Cricetulus griseus: one gene and its partner. The protein of the gene in region 1 purifies or fractionates together with the protein of each later gene. This does not show direct contact. Links are inferred from orthologs where the notes say so. Each region holds a gene or a part of one and is shown in the gene's direction. Other genes may lie near its edges.

Region 1 (3,560 bases):
ACTTCTAGTTGTGGCCTTCTATGCAGAGTTGAGGATGGCGATAGCAGAACAGAGCTGTGGTGTGGAGTTCAGTGTCCTCTGGGACTGTCCCATTCCTGCCCCCTCTTCTATACCCATCTGTACTTGAACCAAAGCCCCTCCAACCATGGGACAAGGCTTCTGCCTTCTGTCTCTGTGCTGCTTGATCTATGACGATCCTGCCACTCTTTCCTTTCTTCTTCAGACAATGGTTTGGGTTATTTTATCTTCCCTTTCTGACTGCACTCCATTTGAGAGTGATGTCTCCATACTCCGGCCCATTGGCTCCTCTTAATCCCTCTCAGAGGTTTCCACACCCATAGGTGGTCTTCCTGTTAGTATTAGGTGGTGTCACAAAGATCTGTCTGGAATTTTCCTTCCCTGAGGGGGCTTCCACAGCAGCTCCTTCATGTGGAGTTCCTCTAAGGGTGACTCAGAGTCTCATTTCCCACCCTGTCATCATCCCCGTGTTCCACCCATATCCCATTTCCCACTGTCAGACAGGTGGGAACCCCGCATGGAGGCTCTCTAGCCAATAATAGTCTCTCAGGAACTGGTGTCAACTATCAGGGCTTGCTGGGAATTGAATAGTAAATTTGAAGTCATTGCTTTACCCTGCAAGTCTGTTTGTTTTTACAGTCCTTCATTATGATGAAGTCACTCTCTGGTTGTGTGGATTCCAAGATGCATGTAATTTTACCCAGTCAGTGAAATAGCCATAGCCTGTAACATCATGCACTATCTTTTCTATATCCCCTTCTCCCTGTCCCTTTGCTCCTGCTCCAACATAGGTCCTTGTCCTTTTGTACCTTTCATTAGCAGTTACATCCCATGAATATATCTTTGGTCTTCACACTCCCCAGTTGACCTGACAGAAAGCTTCCAGCTTCCCTCCCTGATACACGCTCATCCCTTGCCTGTAGGCCTATGCTCCTCAACATCCCCTTAGCCGGTCCTTCTCCTCTAGCTTCTGGCTGTCAGCTTGCTTCTCTCTAGCTTGTTCTGTCTGAGTGGACCCTGGCTTTGCCCTCTGCACCGACACCCACACACCCTAAACCCAACCTCCTTCCAGTTCACATGCGGCTGTTCAGCCAGGATGGTCTGATTCTGCTGTGCTAACAACATTAGAAACCTTTGGTGGCTTTACTTCTCCATCAGAGTTCGTGTCCATTGCATCCTGGCAGGTGGGCTCTATTCCATGTCCGCCTGTATCGGGGTCTCAGACTGGAGGAGCCTTTTCTCTCTGTAATGGTGTTAAGTCAAGGCACTGGGGGCATGGGAGGAGGAGTTCTCAGAAACTGGCTCTTAACTTTCTGCACACTTTCTCCTCCATGTTACTAGTCACAGGTATGTGCTTGGCATCATGGGATGGAGAAGTATAGATAGTCCTGTGTGCTCTTAGAGAGCCTGGAGGCAGGGACACTAGGTAGGTAGGTATCACACTGCTCTAGACAAACTGGGTGAAGGATCTGTGACAAAAAAGGAATCTAGAGATCTAGCAATGGCTGAGTGTTCTGCAGATGGAGAAGCACAGGAAGAGGCAGTGGAGTGCAGCAGGAGGGGAGAGCTATGGGACTGGCCTTCTCAGAGCTGTGTGCGCCCCAGAATGCAGTGTGCCCAGCAGGTAATCAGACACTACACCGCCACGGAGCTTCTGAATTACACAAACAATGCTTTCTGCAGGTTATTTTCTTCCATTTAAAACAATTTTTTTTTATTTCATTTTACATTCCAACCACTGTTCTCTCTCCTATCCCTCCTCCCACCTCCTCCTCGCTTCTCCCCTTCACCTCCCTCGCAGCCCACCCCCAGTCCACTCCTCCTCACAGGTAAGGACTCCATGAGGAGTCAACATAGTCTGGCACAATGGGTTGGGGCAGGGCCAGACCCCTCTCCCATGCTTTAAGGCTGAGCATGGCTTCCTACCATAGGCAATGGGCTTCAACAAGATAGCTCATGTACCAGGTTTGTATCGTGGCCTTACTGCCAGGGACCCCTCTGATAGCCCAAGCTTCACAAATGTCTCCCACATAGGGAGGGCCTAGTTCGGTCCCCCGGAGTCTCCATGGTTGTAGGTGTAGAGTTCATGAGTTTCCATGAACTTGGTTCAGCTGTCTCTGTAGATTTCTCCATCATCATCTTGACCTCCCTTGCTCATATATTCCTTCCTCTCTCACTTCAACTGGATTCCTGGAGCTAGGCATGGTTCTTGGCTGCGAATTTCTGTGTCTGGTTCCATCAAGTACTAGATGAAGGCTCTGTGACGATAGTTGGGATGTTGGGGCTCATAAGGCAGTTCAGGTGAGCTGTAGGTCGAGTCCTCTTCTAGCCCAGGCAGGCACACCAGCACTGTAGGATTAGTAGCCTGAGCCTGCAGCCTTCCATCCACATCTTGCTCAACTGCAGGCTTAGTGGGCCAATGACAGCTACCTTAGCCTGGTTCTTCTTGGCTTTTGGGCCTTTGGTGGAGTTACAACTACCAGTGCCTCTCCCTGTTGGAGAGGAAAGCTCTGTACCTGCTGTACTGGACCTTGTAGCATGGATTTTTTTGTTTTGTTTTGTTTTTCTATCAAAGAAGAATCTAAAATTCCAGTTAAGGAAATGTTCATAGATCATTGGTATCTGCCCTAGCTCAGCATCAGGGTTGTGTCCCTACCCACCGTGGCTCATTGCGCCAACAGTATCTCTTCTTTGAGTTCCACAGTGTTCCAGAAAACCTGCTTCTTGTCTAAGTGAAGTATATGTTTTTAACTTTCAGAAAAAAGATTACTTTGTGATACAATTATACTCTCAATATTGGACTTAGATTCGTCCATATCCTAAGTACCTCGCTTTCAACAGGTAGACCTATCCCATCCTATGGGTGAGCTTTAAGCGGGCAGACCTACCCCAACCTATAGGCGAGCTTGAAGCGGGCAGACCTGCCCATCCTGTAGGCGAGGAAGCTGAAGCTCCCAGGGCAACTTAGTGTGACTGAAGATGTGTCATTTTAGCAAGAAAATTTCCGACTCTTTCGGGGCCTATCTCAGTATTTGACTGGAGTAATGAGTCCAACTTAATACATTTTCAAAATCTTTTAAAACCTTTTTCCTTCCTCAGATAACATCTTTGTGCCCAACAAGAATGGATTCTATTGTCACTCCCAGACAAGTTTGGACAGAACCCAAATGGACCTCAGTGGCCGCATCCGCAATGGCAGCGTGTACAGCGCACACAGCACGAACTCCTTAAATACGCCCCAGCCCTACTTGCAGCCCTCCCCTATGTCCTCCAACCCAAGTATTAGTGGCAGCGATGTCATGAGACCCGACTACATCCCATCCCATCGGCACAGCGCCCTGATCCCCCCGTCTTACCGCCCCACCCCCGACTATGAGACTGTGATGAAGCAGCTCAACAGAGGCATGGTGCACGCAGACAGGCACAGTCACTCTCTGAGGAATCTCAACATTGGCAGTTCCTACGCCTACAGCAGGCCCGATGCCTTGGTCTACAGCCAGCCTGAGATTCGGGAGCATGCACACCTTACCTCCCCCCAGTCG
Region 2 (4,205 bases), on another chromosome or scaffold:
TGTGGTTCTCGCCCGGGCTTGTGGGGCTTTGCCCCCGGAGCGGCTAAGCCGGGGGTCCAGCAGCAGCGCTCAGCTACATCACGTGGACGTGTGGCCCTTGAACCTGCTGCGGCCCCGGGGTGGGCCTGGCTACGTGGACGTCTGTGGCCTTTTCCTGTTGCAGATGGCTACCATCTTAAGCATGGTGCCTGCGTGGCACAGTGCCCGGCTCCGGATCTTCCTGTGCCTGGGGCCTAGGGAGGCTCCTGGGGCAGCGGAGGGCAGGCTGCGGGCTCTGTTGAGTCAACTCAGGATCCGGGCAGAGGTGCAAGAGGTGGTGTGGGGTGAAGGGGCCGAGACTGGGGAGCATGAAGAAGAGGAAGGGGACTTTGTGAATGGTGGTCGAGGAGATGAAGAGGCCGAGGCTCTGGCTTGCAGTGCCAACGCCCTGGTGCGTGCCCAGCAGGGGCGAGGCGCGGCAGGAGGCCCTGGGGGGCCTGAAGGAAGGGATGGGGAGGAGGGACCTGCTACTGCCCTCACCTTCCTGTACCTGCCTCGACCGCCTGCCGATCCTGCCCGCTACCCCAGATACCTGGCGCTGCTGGAAACCCTGAGCCGGGACCTGGGCCCCACCCTTCTTGTTCATGGAGTCACTCCAGTCACCTGCACTGATCTCTGAAGCCTGTTGAGACAGGGTTGCATAGAGGGCCCAGGCCCATTCTGAACAATGGATCCCCCAGTGGACTCTGCCCTTCGGATGATGTTTTAAGGGGACCATGGTCTCCTTTGGATGGGGGGGACGTAGACACTAATTTTGGGTGGCTGTTCCCATAGTCCTGGGAGGACATTGTGGCCCTGCCCTTGGCCTGCCTCCACTTCCTTCATTGGTGCCTTGACCAGAGGGGCTGGTCTCTTCTGCGACTCTAGGCTACCTCAGTGTCCCCATCCTGGCCACAGACGCACCGCCTCCCTCTCCCACTTCCTTGGGTGGTGATGTTTGTGTTTTGTTTTATTTTTCTAACTACTGACCATTAATAAAAGACCAAAACACTATGGGCTGGCGGAGCACTGCTGGTGGGTAGGTGAGCGGGAGGTGGGTGGGAAGGGAGAGATCTGTAGGGGGGTGGAGACCAGAAGCCTTTTGAGGTCCCGGCCGAGAGGCTGCCACGTGCAGTCCTGGGGCAGGGATCGTAGAAGGGGCTGGGCCGCAGCCTCTGAGCGCCTTGCAGCTCACCCTGTGGCTTGGCTCCCGAGGCGGGCGGCCCATTCTTAACAGGAGGGGGCCACAGAAAGAGAGAGAGGGGAGGGATTGCAGATTAGGGTTTAGGGGGACCACGTGACCCTCTCTAGGAATGTGGTGACGTCAGGGGGCGGGGCCAGCCCCAAAATTGGGGAGGAAGGGGGGAAAAAAAAAGCCAGAAAAAGTTTCTTTGCGGGAGTCCCAAACCGGGCGTGGGACGGGACAGGAGGGCTCCGGGCTTGTGGGGGCCGTGACCTCTGTCTGGAGTGGAGTAACCATCCCAGACCATGTCGGGGCCCACCTGGCTTCCCCCGAAGCAGCCAGAGCCCTCCAGAGTCCCCCAGGGAAGAGCGCTTCCCCGAGGCGCCCTGGGGCCGCCACCGGCCCACGGAGCAAGTAAGTGTTTGTCTCTCGCACACCCGGGAGTGGCGGGGGAGCTACTGGCCACTCTCCTTCACCTTTTCTCTCCTGTCTGTCTGCTTTCTGATGTCTCCTCCCCAAGCCAGAGGCCCCTGCCCTTGTGCAACCTTCCCTGATTCCTAGCCCTTCCCAGACGCCCCAGATGCGTGAAGGAGAGGCACCCCGAGCAGGGCAGCCTTCACGAGGTACCATTCTCCATTCCCACCTCTGTTCTCTCCCTTACAGCACTCCAGCCCCACCCCAGGGTCAATTTTTGCCCCCTCCCACCTGAACAGTGTTATCAGCCTCCGGGGGTACCGGACGATCGGGGGCCTACTTGGGTGGGCTCCCACGGAGCACCCCAGCGTCTGCAGGTGAGAATTGGAGATGAGAGGAGGATGTGTGGGTCTCTGTCTCAGGGTGAAGGCGACAGAAGCCCAAGGGTTGTGGTCTATATTTGTTCTCCCTGCTTTGGCTCTGTCTCCAGGGGCTCCCGCCAGACAGGGGTGTCATCCGTCCTGGAAGCCTGGATGCTGAGATAGATTCACTCACTAGCATGTTGGCTGATCTGGACGGGGGTCGCAGTCATGCTCCTCGGCGGGCAGACCGACAGGTCTGTGTCCTGTGTCCTGTGTCTGCGTCCCCATCCCTAGCCAGTTCCCTTCTGTGGCTCTTCAGCCTGAAGCCATCCTTTCCACACTTTGCAACTAATGAACAGCTGGCTCAAGGAAGCACGGGCTGCCTCCTTGCCGGGCCTTGCCCGTGGGAACTTGTCAGAAATCATTGCTTCTCTGTGGTTCCCACCTGGAATGCATGGATGTTGGTTAGGGCCTTACTCACTGTTTCTCCATTGCGTGTCTCCCCAGGCTTTTGAGGTCCCTCCACCCCATGCTTACCGCGCAGGCTCCCTGAAGCCCAGTGGAGGTGCTGTTCCAACCCCTATGCTCCCAGCAGCCCCTTATGGTGGACCTACCCCAGCCTCCTACGCCACAGCCAGCACTCCAGCTGGTCCTGCTTTCCCTGTACAAGTGAAGGTGGCTCAACCAGTGAGAGGCTGTGGACTGCCAAGGCGGAGGGCCTCTCAGGCCTCTGGGCCTCTTCCAGGCCCCCACTTTCCTTTGCCAGGCCGTAGTGAAGTCTGGGGGTCTGGCTATAGGAGCCACCGTGAGCCAGGACCAGGGGTAAAGGAGGAAGCCGCTGGGATACATGGCCCTGCAGGAGGAGGAAGAGGAGGCGGGCATGGGCCCCAGGTGAGCCGGGTGGGGGATGGGGGACACTGGGTTTGTGGTCATTTTAGGTAAGTGGGCATTGATTGGGTGGCATGGAGTACTTAGGATACTGGTTTAGGGCTGGGGAGGCAGTTCAGTTGGTAGAGTGCTTGCTTACTATGCAGGGGTTCCAAGGTTCTATCCACAAGCATGGTGGAGGTAGAGGCAGGTGGATCAGTAGATTAAGGTCATCTTTGGCTACATAACAAGTTCCAGGCCAGCCTAGGCTATATGAGACACTGTTCCAACAATAAATAAATGAATAAATCAATCCTGGTTTTTGGAGTACTTAGAGGTCATGGGTCAAAATGGCCAAAGGGAATGGGCTAGGTACCTCCCCCCCATTAGCTTCTGGGAGATGTTCTCAGATGAGTTTCAGGGTTCTGACCTTACAGATTATTCATGGTATCAGAGACTGTAGGTAGTACCACAAAGCCCTGATTCTCACTGTAGGTCCCTTTAAGCCAACCTCCGGAAGAAGAGCTAGAGAGACTGACCAAGAAATTGGTGCATGACATGAGCCACCCGCCCAGTGGGGAGTACTTTGGTGAGCTGACCTGGTGGGTAGGGTGGGCAGAGGGAGGAGATGGTGGCTCTGGTGACATGGATATGTACAGACTGATGCTCATTGCTCTCTATCCTCAGGTCGGTGTGGTGGCTGTGGCGAAGATGTGGTTGGCGATGGAGCTGGGGTTGTGGCCCTGGACCGTGTCTTCCATGTTGGTTGTTTTGTGTGTTCTACCTGTCGGGCCCAGCTCCGGGGCCAGCACTTCTATGCTGTGGAGAGGAGGGCATATTGTGAGAGCTGCTACGTGGTGAGTGTTGGGCTGGGGGAAAGAGGGCTAAACTAAGTATCAAGATGGGTAGGCGGGTTCCTGCCCATCTAAGAGAGGGCCAGATACTTAGTCAGATGGGGCAGATGATGGAGGGGGCTTGAAGCTGGGAACTCAAGCAGAAACAGAAGAAGGAAGGAGCTCCACGTGGTGGCTATCTGCAGGAGAGACAATTAGGAGTTTGAGGTCAGTTTTAGCTACAAAGCAGGTTTGTCCAGGCAGTGGTAGCATATGCCTTTAAACCCAGCACTTGGGAGGCAGAGGCAGGCAGATCTCTGTGAGTTCGAGACCAGCCTGATCTACAAGAGCTAGTTCCAGGACAGGCTCTAAAGTCAACCCAGGGCACATGTTTCCAGAGATCATTTGGTCCATCAACCAAAAGAACATTTTGGGTTTTGTTTCTTTGATTGCCTGTTTGTAGTTTTGGAATAATATGTCATGTATCCCAGGCTGGCCTGAAACTCTTATGTATAGCTGAGAAAGGCC

The links.
Region 2: the proteins of Ptpn21 (region 1) and Trip6 purify together in Homo sapiens (affinity purification with mass spectrometry; 3 studies listed by BioGRID and IntAct, with this or other methods). This does not show direct contact. The link is inferred for Cricetulus griseus from reciprocal best matches to the Homo sapiens genes PTPN21 and TRIP6.

The regions. Positions count from the first base shown.
Region 1 is NC_048598.1:106,997,771-107,001,330, forward strand, and holds part of Ptpn21 (tyrosine-protein phosphatase non-receptor type 21), read left to right. Parts: intron 1-3,117; coding exon 3,118-3,560.
Region 2 is NC_048597.1:116,225,438-116,229,642, reverse strand, and holds the start of Trip6 (thyroid receptor-interacting protein 6), read left to right. Parts: upstream 1-1,346; 5' UTR 1,347-1,506; coding exon 1,507-1,615; intron 1,616-1,864; coding exon 1,865-1,992; intron 1,993-2,105; coding exon 2,106-2,231; intron 2,232-2,484; coding exon 2,485-2,868; intron 2,869-3,339; coding exon 3,340-3,433; intron 3,434-3,531; coding exon 3,532-3,701; intron 3,702-4,205. Other genes in the region: Slc12a9 (solute carrier family 12 member 9), read left to right, coding at 1-658. UniProt on the Homo sapiens protein: Relays signals from the cell surface to the nucleus to weaken adherens junction and promote actin cytoskeleton reorganization and cell invasiveness. Involved in lysophosphatidic acid-induced cell adhesion and migration.